4 linked regions of the Arabidopsis thaliana genome follow. The protein of the gene in region 1 interacts with the protein of each later gene in a biochemical or structural test. Each region holds a gene or a part of one and is shown in the gene's direction. Other genes may lie near its edges. The genes, in order: HY5, CCA1, HFR1 and LAF1.

Evidence for each region.
Region 2: the proteins of HY5 (region 1) and CCA1 form a complex in vitro, tested with the Arabidopsis thaliana proteins (one study listed by BioGRID).
Region 3: the proteins of HY5 (region 1) and HFR1 form a complex in vitro, tested with the Arabidopsis thaliana proteins (one study listed by BioGRID).
Region 4: the proteins of HY5 (region 1) and LAF1 form a complex in vitro, tested with the Arabidopsis thaliana proteins (2 studies listed by BioGRID).

What each region holds. Positions count from the first base shown.
Region 1 is NC_003076.8:3,592,807-3,596,607, reverse strand, and holds HY5 (Basic-leucine zipper (bZIP) transcription factor family protein), read left to right. Parts: upstream 1-1,604; 5' UTR 1,605-1,807; coding exon 1,808-1,904; intron 1,905-2,134; coding exon 2,135-2,318; intron 2,319-2,428; coding exon 2,429-2,690; 3' UTR 2,691-2,813; intron 2,814-2,956; coding exon of another isoform or gene 2,957-3,025; 3' UTR 3,026-3,247; downstream 3,248-3,801. Other genes in the region: OCP3 (overexpressor of cationic peroxidase 3), read left to right, coding at 1-336, 514-831, 923-1,051.
Region 2 is NC_003071.7:19,243,880-19,249,452, forward strand, and holds CCA1 (circadian clock associated 1), read left to right. Parts: upstream 1-1,711; 5' UTR 1,712-1,993; intron 1,994-2,077; 5' UTR 2,078-2,125; coding exon 2,126-2,164; intron 2,165-2,243; coding exon 2,244-2,355; intron 2,356-2,443; coding exon 2,444-2,505; exon of another isoform or gene 2,506-2,872; intron 2,873-2,983; coding exon 2,984-3,178; intron 3,179-3,265; coding exon 3,266-3,439; intron 3,440-3,522; coding exon 3,523-4,404; intron 4,405-4,475; coding exon 4,476-4,838; 3' UTR 4,839-5,036; downstream 5,037-5,573. Other genes in the region: PSI-P (photosystem I P subunit), read left to right, coding at 1-6, 97-218, 306-392, 478-540, 799-836, 934-991; DUF4 (hypothetical protein (DOMAIN OF UNKNOWN FUNCTION 724 4)), read right to left, coding at 5,312-5,573. UniProt on the Arabidopsis thaliana protein: Transcription factor involved in the circadian clock and in the phytochrome regulation. Binds to the promoter regions of APRR1/TOC1 and TCP21/CHE to repress their transcription. Binds to the promoter regions of CAB2A and CAB2B to promote their transcription.
Region 3 is NC_003070.9:465,105-469,787, reverse strand, and holds HFR1 (basic helix-loop-helix (bHLH) DNA-binding superfamily protein), read left to right. Parts: upstream 1-1,907; 5' UTR 1,908-2,102; coding exon 2,103-2,104; exon of another isoform or gene 2,105-2,235; coding exon 2,236-2,602; intron 2,603-2,701; coding exon 2,702-2,830; intron 2,831-2,990; coding exon 2,991-3,056; intron 3,057-3,540; coding exon 3,541-3,855; 3' UTR 3,856-4,172; downstream 4,173-4,683. UniProt on the Arabidopsis thaliana protein: Atypical bHLH transcription factor that regulates photomorphogenesis through modulation of phytochrome (e.g. PHYA) and cryptochrome signalings. Suppresses the transcriptional regulation activity of PIF4 by forming non-DNA-binding heterodimer.
Region 4 is NC_003075.7:13,050,873-13,054,280, forward strand, and holds LAF1 (myb domain protein 18), read left to right. Parts: upstream 1-1,630; 5' UTR 1,631-1,682; coding exon 1,683-1,809; intron 1,810-1,855; exon of another isoform or gene 1,856-1,896; coding exon 1,897-2,026; intron 2,027-2,106; coding exon 2,107-2,701; 3' UTR 2,702-2,870; downstream 2,871-3,408. Other genes in the region: AT4G25550 (Cleavage/polyadenylation specificity factor, 25kDa subunit), read left to right, coding at 1-1; ACYB-2 (Cytochrome b561/ferric reductase transmembrane protein family), read right to left, coding at 3,015-3,341. UniProt on the Arabidopsis thaliana protein: Transcription factor that promotes photomorphogenesis in the light by participating in the transmission of phytochrome A (phyA) signals to downstream responses. Probably acts by activating expression of light-induced genes.

The sequences.
Region 1 (3,801 bases):
GAGGATCCATTTGAGGCATTGTTTAATCTTTTAGAAGAAGATTTGAAGAATGATAACTCGGATGATGAGGAGATAAGTGAGGAAGAGTTAGAGGCATTAGCCGATGAGTTAGCTCGAGCATTGGGTGTTGGTGACGATGTTGATGACATCGACTTGTTTGGTTCAGTCACTGGTGATGTTGATGTTGATGTTGATAATGATGATGATGATAATGATGATGATGATAATGATGATGATGATGATGACAGCGAAGAAGATGAAAGACCGACTAAGCTGAAGAATTGGCAGCTTAAAAGACTGGCTTATGCATTGAAAGCTGGGCGTCGTAAAACTAGTGTAAGTTTTAGTTCAGTGTTGAAGTGATGTTGAATACATTGTGTAAAGCATAGTGCTTGAGTTAGTGTCTGCTTTGGAGATTTTGCTTACGAATTGTTTAAGAGTTGACAAAGAACAAGTAGTTCTCTGGTTTTCAAATGCATAATTGATAACGGATGGTTTTGTTGTGATCTGTAGATTAAAAATCTGGCAGCTGAGGTTTGTCTTGACAGGGCTTATGTTCTTGAATTGCTTCGTGACCCGCCTCCAAAGCTGCTAATGCTAAGTGCTACACTACCAGATGAAAAACCGCCAGTAGCAGCACCTGAGAACTCCTCACCTGATCCAAGTCCTGTGGAATCATTATCAGCTGAAGATGTTGTGGTCGAACCTAAGGAAAAAGTAAAAGATGAAGCAGTTCATGTGATGCAACAGAGATGGTCTGCTCAGAAAAGAGTGAAGAAAGCTCACATTGAAACGCTAGAGAAAGTTTACAGAAGATCAAAACGACCCACTGTAAGGATTCTCCTTTTACATTTGAATCAATTTCTATGTTACTTGAATGCTCTATCTCACATATGATCATGTTTGATGATGCTGTGAATAGAATGCTGTGGTTAGCAGCATTGTTCAAGTGACCAATCTTCCAAGGAAGCGAGTTTTGAAGTGGTTCGAAGATAAAAGAGCAGAAGACGGAGTTCCAGATAAGCGAGCTCCATATCAAGCTCCGGTTTGATCTAATGTTAACGTTGAGATGGCAATGATTTGTATACTTGATTCTCAGAAACTCATCAACATTGTCGTCAAGGACAAGTTTTTTTGGTGATACGAGGAGTGTTTATAGTAGTAGATTCTGTCCAATGGTGTGGCTGGATATGTTGGACTATGAAATTTTAGGATATCTTGTATTCAGTTTTTAGTTATTTCCTTGCTGAGATTGTGTCTTGTAGAAAACCGTTTCAACTTTGTTTGGTTTATGGCGGCTATAAAGTTTAATTTTAATGCATGACAAAAACAAATCACCAAAAATAAAATAAATTACTTTCACGACACTTTTGAAAGCACTGCCCTAGGCGTGGGCCATGTGACAGAATGAAAGAACTCAGACCAAACTTTTCTGTCCAAGGACAGGAATGGGGCCCACCCAATTAGCTCCCCTATCCATTATTCACCGTAAGATGCTAACCAGATCTAACGGCTAAAATCCACCCACGTTCCAATCTCAATTGCCTTTGGATCCTTGTATTTCCTCAAGGCTCACCTTTCTCCACGATTCACTCTCGATATCCGTTCGATTCTTCAGAGATCTGACGGCGGTAGCCAGAGTAATCTATTCCTTCCCAAAATGTCTCGCAATTAGATTCTTTCCAAGTTCTTCTGTAAATCCCAAGTCCCGCTCTTTTCCTCTTTATCCTTTTCACCAGCTTCGCTACTAAGACAACAAATCTTTCCCTCTCTCTCTCGCCTGATCGATCTTCAAAGAGTAAGAAAAATGCAGGAACAAGCGACTAGCTCTTTAGCTGCAAGCTCTTTACCATCAAGCAGCGAGAGGTCATCAAGCTCTGCTCCACATTTGGAGATCAAAGAAGGTAAACAAAAATTGTCGATTGTTTTATTTTCATATCTTCTCCCAACGAGTGATCTCATTGATTTTCATTCTCATGCATTGGATATCTAGTAAATTCACATCTAGATTTTGTATCACCATTGATTCACATCTAGATTCACAACTTTTAGTCTCCCCCAGAAGATCTGCAATTTTTTATTGTATTTAAAAAGTTTGAAACTTTTCGTCTAAAGTCTCTTTTATGTTTTAAAGGAATTGAAAGCGATGAGGAGATACGGCGAGTGCCGGAGTTTGGAGGAGAAGCTGTCGGAAAAGAAACTTCCGGTAGAGAATCTGGATCGGCGACCGGTCAGGAGCGGACACAGGCGACTGTCGGAGAAAGTCAAAGGAAGCGAGGGAGGACACCGGCGGAGAAAGAGAACAAGCGGCTGAAGAGGTGTCTTTTTCTCTATTCATTGAATTTACATTTTTACCCTTTATATGGAAGGTGATTATGTTAAATAACGGTTGCGTGATGGGGTTGTTTGGTAATTTTGTGGTGAAAAGGTTGTTGAGGAACAGAGTTTCAGCTCAGCAAGCAAGAGAGAGGAAAAAGGCTTACTTGAGCGAGTTGGAAAACAGAGTGAAAGACTTGGAGAACAAAAACTCTGAACTTGAAGAGCGACTCTCTACTCTTCAGAACGAGAACCAGATGCTTAGACATGTACGTTTTGTCGATCTTACTGTTGACTTAACCTGCAACGTCAATGCTTTTGCCATTTGTTTTTTGATATATCACAGTACTGGTTTATCACATTTACGAGTCTAGGATTGACCAATAATTAGTTTAGTTAGTTAAAAGGATCTAAGAAGCTAACTTAAGCTTTAGATTAATTCTCAGAAGGCATGTAGGTTCTTGAAATGGTCATTCACTCGCATATTCTCTCAAAAGGCATGTAAATTCTTCAATGGTTCTTGAAATGCTCACTCATTTTGTTCTATATGAATGGAGAAGATGAGATTGCAAAGTTGGATCTCTATGTGTGTGTGTGGTAATAAAGTCTTTTGAGTTGTTATGTTTTTTATGTGGTGTAGATTCTGAAGAACACAACAGGAAACAAGAGAGGAGGTGGTGGTGGTTCTAATGCTGATGCAAGCCTTTGATCTCCTTCTTCTTCTTGTGTTATATTTTTGTGGATAAAATTTACAGAGAATTGTATCAATAATTATCATGTTAAAATTATATGGGATGTGAGAGCTAATATTGCAATTGTAGACCAAGTTCTCTTATTGTAGTCTTAGATTTCTCTTAATTGAAACATAATGTTGTTTTATAACAAAAATAAGCTAATTTTTGTTCTATGATATGACATTGTGACACTGTAGTAGAAAGGTTGCGTTTTCGATTCCCGCAGTTCAAAGTCCCAAACAAATTCTGGGATAGTGGAATCTTTACTCTTTTTTTTTTCCTTTTTGCCCCTATCCCTCCCGATTTCTTACAGACAAGTCGCCATGGATTTGTAAACGAAGATGCCGTTGATCATATTATGCGGAAATCGGACAAAGAGGGTAGGGTCGATCTTTTACAGCCAAAGCTTGTCAAGCTCGAGAGATGAGCAATCATGTAAGTGTTTTCTTACACTTTTGCTTTCCTTTTTCTAAAATCCATGGAATCCAGACATTGTTTTCTGTCACTGCTACCTTGAACTTGCTGCTCCCTTCTTAGAATCGGGTTGCCACAACCGAATTTCATGGACAAAATCGTACATTTCTTTACCTGTTGTATGCTTTCTGATTCTTTGTTTTCTATTTTAGATTTTTCGTGGATCTCATCTTCATCTATTGCTAGTTGCTAGTGTACTATGGATTGTTTGACATTATTTCTCATGCTTTTGAGGATACTCAGATTCTATCAATGTTAACAAAGAAAAATTTATTCT
Region 2 (5,573 bases), on another chromosome or scaffold:
CTTACTGTTCGTTTTCCATAAATCTGAAGATTTTTCTTTTCACTTTTAATTTCGAGTTTAAAGTTTCAAACTTTCGAAATGGGTTTTGGTTTTTAGGTCGGAAGATTGTGAGGAACGTTGTGACGAGAGCTACTACTGAAGTTGGTGAAGCTCCTGCCACTACTACCGAAGCTGAGACTACTGAGTTACCTGAAATCGTCAAGACTGCTCAAGAAGCTGTAAATACTCTTACTTTATTTATACAATGATGATTCTACCTCTTGCTTCTGGGTTACATGTACTGAATTTGGTTGTTTGGATTGAAGTGGGAGAAAGTGGATGACAAGTACGCTATTGGTTCTCTTGCCTTTGCTGGTGTAGTGGCTCTTTGGGGTTCTGCTGGAATGATTTCGGTGAGTAGAAGAATACTACTTTCTTCTTAAAACCCTAGTGTTAAATTTCCTTTATTTGATTCCAAAATTTGTTATTGTGAAACAGGCAATCGATAGGCTTCCATTGGTTCCTGGTGTTCTTGAACTTGTAGGCATCGGTTACACAGGAGTGAGTTTCTTCTTCTCTTTGTATCACTTGAACCAAAGCTCTCATGAACCTGTTTTGAGGATATAGATGATTCATCACTTCACTTTTGGATTTAGGATTAGTTCTCTGAATTTAGAATCCGAACATCTGCAATTCATATGGAGATATGATATCAGAAATTGATTGCTGCTTCTCGCTAGTGTTTCAATCTTAAAAGACGTGTGTAGTTTGTTTCAATTGTGTGATGGACCTTATTAACATTTGGTTTTTCTATGGCAGTGGTTCACTTACAAGAACCTGGTCTTCAAACCAGACAGGTTAACCAATTCTCTCTTTAACTCTGTGTTTGGTTGCATGTAATACTGAGAATGGAAGACTCAAATTCTCGAGGAAATTGTTTGTTATCTGTTTCAGGGAGGCTTTGTTTGAGAAGGTCAAGAGCACATACAAAGACATATTAGGGAGCAGCTGAATCAAAGGAGGAAGAAGAAGAAGAAGAGCCTTTTTGAGGCCATTCATGAATTGGAATGAAGGATATCAAAAGAATCTAACACAAAGGCCACGTCCTTCCTTCAATCTTTCCTTCTTGTAACTAAATAATTTTCATCCTTTCTCTCTCTCTGTCTCTGGTCTTTTTTAGCTCAAAGTATCATCCATTTATGTCAAAGTGTTGTAAATTCCTCAAGACTATATATGAGATGTTTTGTTTCATTTTCCAAAATTTCAAACTTTGTCCCCATTTAGTCTTCTACCCTTCATGCATGGTTAGCTTAGCTTAATGCTGAACTGTTGAATAACGATATGGGCCTTATGCTAAAAGAACAAAACCTTATGGGTCTAAAAAAAATAAGCCCAATATAAAACTATGGCCCAAATAAGTTTAGGTCCATTAGAGTGTGAGAATAGCGCGTGTAGTGAACCGCACGAGAATGCGCGTTCGATTGTTGGTGAAGTAGTCGTCTAGATTCCCGGGTCCACTGATGTTTCTAGTGTATCAGACACGTGTCGACAAACTGGTGGGAGAGATTAACGATCTTAAGTAGGTCCCACTAGATCAAGATATTATAACGAATTGACCTTTTTAACCTTTCAGGTAGTCCCGGAACTCGTGGCCTAGAATACAAAGAAGGTTGTGAACAAGTTGATGTTAAGATGGACAAGAATGTAACTTGAACAAAAGCTGAATCATCTCTTCAGCCACTAGTATGTTGACATATGGCAGTTTCTTTTGTAGCCTCGAAATAAATAAATTAAAAAGTTTGAGGTTAAAGATAATTATAGTGGCTGAGATTTCTCCATTTCCGTAGCTTCTGGTCTCTTTTCTTTGTTTCATTGATCAAAAGCAAATCACTTCTTCTTCTTCTTCTTCTCGATTTCTTACTGTTTTCTTATCCAACGAAATCTGGAATTAAAAATGGAATCTTTATCGAATCCAAGCTGATTTTGTTTCTTTCATTGAATCATCTCTCTAAAGGTACTTAAGATTGATTTATTGTCATGGTCTTTCTTATTGTTTGATGAATAACTTGACTTGATTGTTTTTTGTTTTGTGGATTAGTGGAATTTTGTAAAGAGAAGATCTGAAGTTGTGTAGAGGAGCTTAGTGATGGAGACAAATTCGTCTGGAGAAGATCTGGTTATTAAGGTAAATTAAACTAAATTTTAGGGGGAAGATGATTGTTTTAGGTGTCAAAGATTGAGAATTTTAATGAAACTTGATATAGACTCGGAAGCCATATACGATAACAAAGCAACGTGAAAGGTGGACTGAGGAAGAACATAATAGATTCATTGAAGCTTTGAGGCTTTATGGTAGAGCATGGCAGAAGATTGAAGGTTGATTTTTATTTCCCTTTATATGTCTTATTTTTTGTGTTTGCAGAGGTTTGTCTTCAAACTGATTTGCTTTTTTTCATTTGGACAGAACATGTAGCAACAAAAACTGCTGTCCAGATAAGAAGTCACGCTCAGAAATTTTTCTCCAAGGTAAAATCGGTTAATTTTGAAATGATGTTCTCATCTTCATTGGCTTAATGCTTAAGACTTATTGAAAGCCAGGCAAGTTTTCTGCTTCTTTTGCTTCTTAGTCAGGAGATAGATAGATTACGTTTTTAGAGTTTAGTAATGAGCAATAAGTCTTAAAATAGTTGGAGAAATGACGAGATGTAATCGTTTTCTTTTGTTTATGCCTATATCTTGTTAATCCACAAACATGTACATAGATTCTTCAGAAGAATGTTAGTTTCTTTAGATTCTTCAGATAAACTTGTGTCTTCTTACCGATTCTGAGGTAGTGGCAAAAGTGGGCTGAGTGCTAGAAATTTTTGAATGTTCCTTGTGATAAGCCATAGAGGTAAACCATTTTTGATTTTCCAGTTCTGTCATTTAAACTTGTTAGTGTCATTAGATTTTTGTTTGTTTACGTTTGTTTAGAGGGTAACAAAACTACTCTCATCTCTCTCAGGTAGAGAAAGAGGCTGAAGCTAAAGGTGTAGCTATGGGTCAAGCGCTAGACATAGCTATTCCTCCTCCACGGCCTAAGCGTAAACCAAACAATCCTTATCCTCGAAAGACGGGAAGTGGAACGATCCTTATGTCAAAAACGGGTGTGAATGATGGAAAAGAGTCCCTTGGATCAGAAAAAGTGTCGCATCCTGAGGTGATTTTCATGGTCATATGGCATCTTTTTGCAGTGTGTCACATTGCTCCTCATGTTATTAATACAGATTGTGTGCTTCGTTTATAGATGGCCAATGAAGATCGACAACAATCAAAGCCTGAAGAGAAAACTCTGCAGGAAGACAACTGTTCAGATTGTTTCACTCATCAGTATCTCTCTGCTGCATCCTCCATGAATAAAAGTTGTATAGAGACATCAAACGCAAGCACTTTCCGCGAGTTCTTGCCTTCACGGGAAGAGGTAAAAAACAATCTTTCATTGCTATTTGAGGTTTTAAGACGATTAGTACTTTTCATGAAACTAAAACCGTGGGGGAATAACAGGGAAGTCAGAATAACAGGGTAAGAAAGGAGTCAAACTCAGATTTGAATGCAAAATCTCTGGAAAACGGTAATGAGCAAGGACCTCAGACTTATCCGATGCATATCCCTGTGCTAGTGCCATTGGGGAGCTCAATAACAAGTTCTCTATCACATCCTCCTTCAGAGCCAGATAGTCATCCCCACACAGTTGCAGGAGATTATCAGTCGTTTCCTAATCATATAATGTCAACCCTTTTACAAACACCGGCTCTTTATACTGCCGCAACTTTCGCCTCATCATTTTGGCCTCCCGATTCTAGTGGTGGCTCACCTGTTCCAGGGAACTCACCTCCGAATCTGGCTGCCATGGCCGCAGCCACTGTTGCAGCTGCTAGTGCTTGGTGGGCTGCCAATGGATTATTACCTTTATGTGCTCCTCTTAGTTCAGGTGGTTTCACTAGTCATCCTCCATCTACTTTTGGACCATCATGTGATGTAGAGTACACAAAAGCAAGCACTTTACAACATGGTTCTGTGCAGAGCCGAGAGCAAGAACACTCCGAGGCATCAAAGGCTCGATCTTCACTGGACTCAGAGGATGTTGAAAATAAGAGTAAACCAGTTTGTCATGAGCAGCCTTCTGCAACACCTGAGAGTGATGCAAAGGGTTCAGATGGAGCAGGAGACAGAAAACAAGTTGACCGGTCCTCGTGTGGCTCAAACACTCCGTCGAGTAGTGATGATGTTGAGGCGGATGCATCAGAAAGGCAAGAGGATGGCACCAATGGTGAGGTGAAAGAAACGAATGAAGACACTAATAAACCTCAAACTTCAGAGTCCAATGCACGCCGCAGTAGAATCAGCTCCAATATAACCGATCCATGGAAGTCTGTGTCTGACGAGGTACTTACTTGGACTAAAGATCAACTTCCTTTATTTCAAATCATTTTCTCATATAAATATTGTACATTCAGGGTCGAATTGCCTTCCAAGCTCTCTTCTCCAGAGAGGTATTGCCGCAAAGTTTTACATATCGAGAAGAACACAGAGAGGAAGAACAACAACAACAAGAACAAAGATATCCAATGGCACTTGATCTTAACTTCACAGCTCAGTTAACACCAGTTGATGATCAAGAGGAGAAGAGAAACACAGGATTTCTTGGAATCGGATTAGATGCTTCAAAGCTAATGAGTAGAGGAAGAACAGGTTTTAAACCATACAAAAGATGTTCCATGGAAGCCAAAGAAAGTAGAATCCTCAACAACAATCCTATCATTCATGTGGAACAGAAAGATCCCAAACGGATGCGGTTGGAAACTCAAGCTTCCACATGAGACTCTATTTTCATCTGATCTGTTGTTTGTACTCTGTTTTTAAGTTTTCAAGACCACTGCTACATTTTCTTTTTCTTTTGAGGCCTTTGTATTTGTTTCCTTGTCCATAGTCTTCCTGTAACATTTGACTCTGTATTATTCAACAAATCATAAACTGTTTAATCTTTTTTTTTCCAACCTGGAAAGAACTTCACTCAAGGGGCTCTTGTTCTTGATATATGCAAACGACAGAGTTCCAAAACGTAATCTTAGCCCATCCATCACCCTTAAGTTGTCTCATAACTCATAAGTAAGCACAAAAGCACCACACAAATAAGCAAACTCTACTTCCTTATGTCATCACATAAATAGAAAGGCAAGCAGCCAAAGGCAAGCAGTAGCAAGTACAACAGAGTTGTTACAAAAAAGGATTAAATAAAAACAGAAGTTATAAGGATAAATCCAACCACACCCATGAAATGACCCCATATCTTTTATTTGGCCGTCTCCTTGTCTTCAAAGCTGCTTTTGCACCTCACCAGACTCTTTTTCAGCTTGCTATAATCATCTGCCATCTCTTTCTCCATCCCTTTTTGTTGTCTGAGGGATTCACGTCTCATCTTGCGGAGAACTAACAGCGTGAGGACCTGTGATAAAGGTTCTGCAACGTCGAAACCCTGCTCCTCGAACATTTTAAATGTCTCTCTGTAGACATCTAGTTCACTTTTTGGAGTGTCCTCACACATACCATCTACT
Region 3 (4,683 bases), on another chromosome or scaffold:
CCTGTTCTCAGTTTTGTCTAACATGTTTCACTCCTCATTGATGGGCCCTTAATAAATTCATATTTGGGTTAATAACATTACATGGGCTAACCTAAAAGCCCAGTAAAGATAACGTTCTATTTGGCAAAAAAAGAAGAAGATAGATAGATCATAGATGCTGCATTTAATGTACAACAAAAATAAAAATCGTCAATCAACCACTAGATACACAAATAGTACTTCGTATAGTATATGATTCCAACCAAAACGGTGGGAACAAGAGAAAAATATTAAAATAAGAATCAATAATGCAAAGTTTTTCCATAATATCAAATAGATTGAACAGTGGGAAGTTGTAGATTGGAACGTATATTCCGAGAGGTCGTTGTCGTGAAGGAGATTGGAAACCTATGTAGTGGCTGTGGTTTTGCTTCGTCGCTCGCTAAGACACCAACAAAATATAAAGTACCCAAGTGTCAGACATAGCACCATGTCCATCACGAGGGCATCACGTGAACACGCCTTTTCTTCTTCCTCTCTCTCTCTCTTTTTCGATTTTTTTCAGGCCCATTTGATTCAACGCTACAAAGTTAACATTCATTAGTCAATTGAATAATAATAATTAGTATTTTTGTTCTACTAATTCGAAATTAGAATTTGATACTGTTTTTTTTTTTTTTTGATTGTTGATATTTAGTAACCAGGTCATTTTTGTTTATTCAGAATATGTTGTAATTATTGGAGTTTTTTTTAATTAAGGAAAATAGTGTGGACCTTTTTTATCAAAGATAGTAATAATGTGGACCATCGCACCTGCTCGGTGTATGGTTGATGATGACGTGACTCTAAAATTCCAATAAATGTGTCGTGGGGTTACAGAAAACAAAAAAAACTGATTCGTTATAGGATTGGTTTAGAGCCCACAACCCACGTGGGATTTTGGATAAAACCCTAAATGAATTCTTTTTTCAGGAATCCATAAATGGTCATGAAATGAAATGCATTCTCAGGCTGGAAATAATCGACCATTATATTATTGCACAAAAAAGTGAACTCTAGTATCATAACTCTGAAATTATTATGATTGCTGGTTACTGAATTTTGTAAGCCTTTCATAATAACGAATTTACCAATTGGGAGATCGAATAATCTTATCGTTGTTACAGACGATATTTTTTTGTCGATTATATTATGAAACTTGTGGTAGTCAACCTTTTTTTTTCCAAACGGAGACGTCATCTTTTTGTTTTTATATTTAGAGATGATCTGACCAAAAATAAACAAATAGACATCCGATATTTTACATTGTTTTATATATATATAAAGATAAAGCTTAATGACGAGTATTCAATGATAAACGATAAGATTACGGGAAAAATAATTAAACGGATAAAAATGGCCCTACCCGTTGTGCATTACAGTTCTTGGTTAAGAAATACTATTAAACTGTCTCTCAAATCTCAATATATAAATGAATACATTCTATACGTACAAAGATAAATTTATCTCTATGTTCATGTGTCAAAGTGGTAGTGAATCTAGTGACGTTATTGATTAATCAAGATTACTTTTATCTTTCTGTGCAAAATTTCAAGATTACTCTAAAGTCGATATATGCTACTATGACGTAGTTTTGGGACAATTACGTATAGAATCATAAAAACAATAAGCAGAATAATAATCCATTTAAGTACATTGTGAATTTGTGATAATGGAATTATTTGACAATACTTTTCCAAAATAAAAACTAATTTAATTACTGTATTAATTATTTTAGTAAAACAATATTTTCATTACAATGTTTGTTGTGAATCCAAAAAAGTATTGTTTCCAAAGAACTCAAATGACATCAATATGTCTATAATAACCTCGTGTAGCTGTATGTTAGAATCTAGCCGAATTGTTTTATTGTTGTCGGTGTACGCAACAAACGAACCACACATACTTTGAAACGTGGCACAATATAAGTGGGTCACCAATGTAGCTGACAACTATACCATCTATCTGATCCGATCGCTCTTATAACATAAGCGTATGGGATACCATTTTCTCGGACAAAGCTGAAATCCCTAAAGAAAAAACACTTCTCCAAACTTTTCATCTCCGATATCTCTTTAACTAACATGTAAGTATAATTAAACAGGAGGTTTCAGAGTTTAGGTTTCTTGCCTTGTTATTCTCTTTATTTATTTCTTTAATAATTTATCAATGATTTGTATCGTAAACCCTAATAGTTTACTACTTTTTTCTTGGCAGGTCGAATAATCAAGCTTTCATGGAATTGGGATGGAGAAACGACGTCGGATCACTTGCTGTGAAAGATCAGGGCATGATGTCAGAAAGAGCAAGAAGTGATGAAGATCGTCTAATCAACGGTCTAAAATGGGGCTACGGCTACTTTGATCATGATCAAACTGATAATTATCTTCAGATTGTTCCAGAGATTCATAAAGAAGTAGAAAATGCGAAGGAGGATTTATTGGTTGTTGTCCCTGATGAACATTCTGAAACTGATGATCATCATCATATTAAAGATTTTTCAGAGAGATCAGATCATCGATTTTATCTGAGAAACAAACATGAGAACCCCAAAAAACGTCGTATCCAGGTCTTAAGTAGTGATGTAAGTCGATACATAGATATATTTTCATGTTACCTTATGTATTATCATTTTTCACTGTTTTTAATTTTTTCTTTCTATAAATAAAATTAATTAATTTAGGATGAATCGGAGGAGTTTACAAGAGAAGTTCCTTCAGTTACTCGAAAAGGTTCCAAGAGAAGAAGAAGAGACGAGAAGATGAGTAATAAGATGCGTAAGCTACAGCAACTCGTACCTAATTGTCACAAGGTTGGTGTGTATATAGATCCTTCTATATAATGTTTCAATTTAACTATTGAGTGTCTAGTCTTTTCCGTATAAGTTTCCGCTACTTCCGTTGCATATATGAAGAAATCTTGCCTTAAGTTTCCAATTCTGATAACGGGTGGTGCTTTTTTACGGTTTTCAGACGGACAAGGTTTCGGTTCTCGACAAGACCATAGAGTATATGAAAAACCTTCAACTTCAACTTCAGGTCTATATTTAACTTTATTCACTATTTTTATTTCACACTTTATTCAGTGTTCTTCTTCCATATATTTGAATTATTGAGGCTTGAGGTTTTAAGTGTTTATCTAATAGTCTGAGTTTTTTTTTGGTTAATTTAACTAGTTGACATAAACTGTTCTTGGTATTCGATCTGACTCGCCAACTTATGAGATATGGATTATTGTTTTACAATATGGGTTTCAAATTGATCAAACAAATATAGCCACTTTTTGGTGTTTAGTGACGAAAAAAATGGAATGATATATAGTAGGCAGTAGATAACCTAGATGGTGAAGTCTATAGAATTTCTTTAATATTTCGAATTCATCTCTTTTCATGTGATTATTTAGTGCCAACTAAATGTTTTATATTTTATAGAACTATGTACCCATTTTGATCATTCGAATATGTATATGTGCTATTTATATTCAGAAACTAAGTTGTAATCAAAGTTGATGTTATAATTGCAGATGATGTCAACAGTGGGGGTGAATCCTTATTTTCTTCCGGCGACATTAGGATTTGGAATGCACAACCACATGCTGACGGCAATGGCTTCGGCTCACGGCCTAAATCCGGCGAATCACATGATGCCATCGCCGCTAATTCCGGCGTTAAATTGGCCATTACCACCGTTTACTAATATTTCATTCCCACATTCATCTAGTCAATCTCTATTTCTTACAACATCATCACCAGCTTCTTCTCCTCAGTCTCTTCACGGTTTGGTTCCTTATTTCCCAAGTTTCTTGGATTTTTCTTCCCATGCGATGAGAAGACTATGATAAGTAAGTAGCTCGATAAAAGTTTATGTGAAATGATCGTTGACTAATTAAGAGAGAAAAGAGTTCCAAATTAGGACAGTTTGTGTGAACCATTTGTGTCATATACTTTTTTTTCCGGGTGGTTTTGTATATTAATAATAATCAATAAGTTAAAACTTTTTGTATAAATTCTTGCATGTAACAATTTTTTCATTTATCTGATATTTTGTAAAATATATTGAGACATGCTTATAAGAGCATTGAACGTAGGAACAAGATTTCCCTGATTCTTAAGCGTCTCAAACGTTTACACTTGGTTACATGCATCCCAACTAGCTTTATCTTCAGCATCTCAAATTCAGGACCAGTGGGTCATACACTATGATAATGTTAATGTACAAAAAGTAACATTAACTTACCTCTGCACACTGCATGTTACTTAGAAGTTAGGATGTGGCTCTGCCAAATATAGGGCCGGATGTATGAGAAAAGATCAAAAGAAGAAATGAGGAAACTTGACTTCGAGAATTATTAATCACTTTCTTACACATCAATTATTGATTTGCGTTTTGTGTTTACACATCGCTTTTCCACAGTTGATATATTCATTTTTTTGTGGAAAATTCAAAATGTTTTCTGTTTTAAAGTTGTGACTTGTGAGTAATAATCTCTTTTCTTTTGTTTTCTGAGCTAGGTAAATACACACACAAGAAATATTACGTCCGAAACTCGAGACACAATTCATATTTATATATAAAAAAAGAAAAATTCTACACGCACAGACACAGGCGCACACTTATATACGTATTATTTTACAAATACATATCCTTTTGTCTCAATAAGGCTTGG
Region 4 (3,408 bases), on another chromosome or scaffold:
ATTTCGACTCGGTGTGTTCAAGAACAAGGAACCTATCAGATGGGTAAGTTACTTAGGTACGGTAGAGAGCTGTAGCTACCGGATTAGAGATGGGGTTTTCCAATGATGCGAGTTGGGTTTTTTGCATTATAGACTTGTTGGCTTTTATGTAGAACCGGTTCAAAGTGTCAGCACAAAAAACAAAGATTATTGTATCTCATTTTTAAAAGCATTTGTCATTGTTTGACTAACGCCTGTCTTCTCTAACCGTAAAACATGTGTTTCATTCAATGTTGAATGATGTTTTTATTTTGGTGCATAAAACTAAGCCATGTTTAACCTTCTTTGTCAACATATTTCATAAAGTTTTATCAACATACCACAAGGCCTAATGGTCGAAGGAGGAGAAGTTTTGTTGTAGACGAACAATCTAAAGTATCCTAGTTATCATAACATTAGATGTATAAAATTTATTCTCCGAGGGCTAAGGATTAAGTCATCATAACATTAGATGTATAAAATTTATTAGTCGTGTTTCATTGGGGATTAGTTTGACGGCAAATTATATTATGTTATCAAGACGACCAAGACAAGGTAGACACTTTTTTATTGTTTCCCTCTCAATTTTCTTTACTCGTCATTTTCCACAGGCCAAAAGAGCCAACAAGTAAAAAACAAAATCAGAGTATTTTTAAAATTGGGACAGGCCATTTCGATCGGGACAGAAGGAATTCAAATTGTTGAAATTCACAATATTCCTCAAATAACTCTTATTATTGGTCCACTTGTCAGTGTGAATGTAAGAAAAACATCGTGAGAGGAAAAAATATGAAATAATTACTAGCAGCAAATAGGAGCTCAATGTTGACTTCACTACAAAATTTTATAATTAAGAGAAAAAGAGCTCTCAAATCATATAATAATTATTTCAAGTACTTGTATTAGCAAATGCAATTTGTCTGCTTGCTAATGATGCTTTACGAAAAGATTAACAGATTGGATGATTCTCTATAATCATTACTTCATTATTCACAATCATTGGATTGAATCAGACAGATTATTCCACCCGGATGATCGTTTCTAACCAAAAAACTCATTGACGCGATTTAAACATAAATTAAAGAAGTCGTTAATATAAAATTCTTGCCGACATTTTAGAGATTTTTGGATATGAAGATGTTATCTGATTAGTGTGTAAATTCTTAAGGCATCGTCCATTATAAATGAAGTAAATATAAGGAAAACAAACAATAAGAAAACAAAGTGAAAGAACAAAAACAAGCAAAGATTCTTCTTTTTTTTTTTTTTTATAGGTAGGAATCTCAAATCTTATATATACTGAAAATTGCTAATTTATTTTAAGTTGGAACATTATATCAATAATTTAAATTTATCCAAGCAGACTTTTGACACCTAATTAATCCTTACATATTCCATTATGACTTTTCTCCTCACTGCTTATACAAATGCATACAGTATACTCATAAGAAATTAACACATAAATTATATCCCAAATTTTCATAAAAATAGAAATATATATGTCATTTGTCATTTACTCTAAGCAGGCCCATTTGGTCATTTCTTAACACCAAGTATGTAGGCTCTATCTGTGGACGTTTGGTGATATATATGTTGTCTCAATCACCATATATAGTATTGAGACATGTTTTCTTGTATCAGGACAGACAGCTGACTAAAGAGAAATGGCGAAGACGAAATATGGAGAGAGACATAGGAAAGGGTTATGGTCACCTGAAGAAGACGAGAAGCTAAGGAGCTTCATCCTCTCTTATGGCCATTCTTGCTGGACCACTGTTCCCATCAAAGCTGGTCTCTCTTTCATCTTCTTCTTTATTAGTTTTTAGTTTCTCAAACTGAGTCAACTTTGATAATTGTTGTTGGGATTTAATTTGATAGGGTTACAAAGGAATGGGAAGAGCTGCAGATTAAGATGGATTAATTACCTAAGACCAGGGTTAAAGAGGGATATGATTAGTGCAGAAGAAGAAGAGACTATCTTGACGTTTCATTCTTCCTTGGGTAACAAGTAAGTGTATCTCTAAGACCTAACCCTATTGTTTTAGCAGATGCTAGTTATAGAGAGACTAATGATTTAGGTGTAATTAGGTGGTCGCAAATAGCTAAATTCTTACCGGGAAGAACAGACAATGAGATAAAGAACTATTGGCACTCTCATTTGAAAAAGAAATGGCTCAAGTCTCAGAGCTTACAAGATGCAAAATCTATTTCCCCTCCTTCGTCTTCATCATCATCACTTGTTGCTTGTGGAAAAAGAAATCCGGAAACCTTGATCTCGAATCACGTGTTCTCCTTCCAGAGACTTCTAGAGAACAAATCTTCATCTCCCTCACAAGAAAGCAACGGAAATAACAGCCATCAATGTTCTTCTGCTCCTGAGATTCCAAGGCTTTTCTTCTCTGAATGGCTTTCTTCTTCATATCCCCACACCGATTATTCCTCTGAGTTTACCGACTCTAAGCACAGTCAAGCTCCAAATGTCGAAGAGACTCTCTCAGCTTATGAAGAAATGGGTGATGTTGATCAGTTCCATTACAACGAAATGATGATCAACAACAGCAACTGGACTCTTAACGACATTGTGTTTGGTTCCAAATGTAAGAAGCAGGAGCATCATATTTATAGAGAGGCTTCAGATTGTAATTCTTCTGCTGAATTCTTTTCTCCATCAACAACGACGTAAATTGCGTTTATTGTAATGTAAATCAAATTTCTAAGGCAAAACCGGAAAAAAAATGTTTTGTTTTTTGTTTTGTCTTAAATGCTTTGACACCAATAAGGCAAATAGCATATATGGTTAAAGGAATGGCAATATGAAAGAAAAGAAAAGAAAAGAAAATGATTTAAAAGATTCATCAATATCATTGAAGATTTTACACACCAGAAGTAGCAAAGCCGTAACACACAAAGCTTTTCGCTACAAATGCATCATACATAAATGGAGTTTTGAGAGTACAAGGGGCGATACAGATGTAACGTGGAATGTAGAAAGTGTTTTATATAGCAGAATAACTGAAGTCAACACTATCATCATTGGAGACGGAAGGAGAAGGAGAAGGAGACTCAGCAGAAGCAGTGAGTACCACAAAGGCACCAAAGAGAATAGTGATAATGGCCGTGAAGTTGATAAGAAATGCTTCGGATCCATACTTGTCAAGCCCTCCATTCTCCAAGAAAGTCAGCTTTTCCAGAAACCCTAAAGCTGCATTCCCGACAGCAAGTATGTAAACAAACAGGCCAAGCATTGCGTGCCACGGAAGCAATCCGCTTTTCAAATTTGTTGATCCTCCTGGGAAGAAGAACACTATGAAGCTGTACACCCACTGTAAAGTTCAAAACTCTTGTTCTGGTCAGGAACAATATACAACAATAGGTAAAAACATTTTTCCA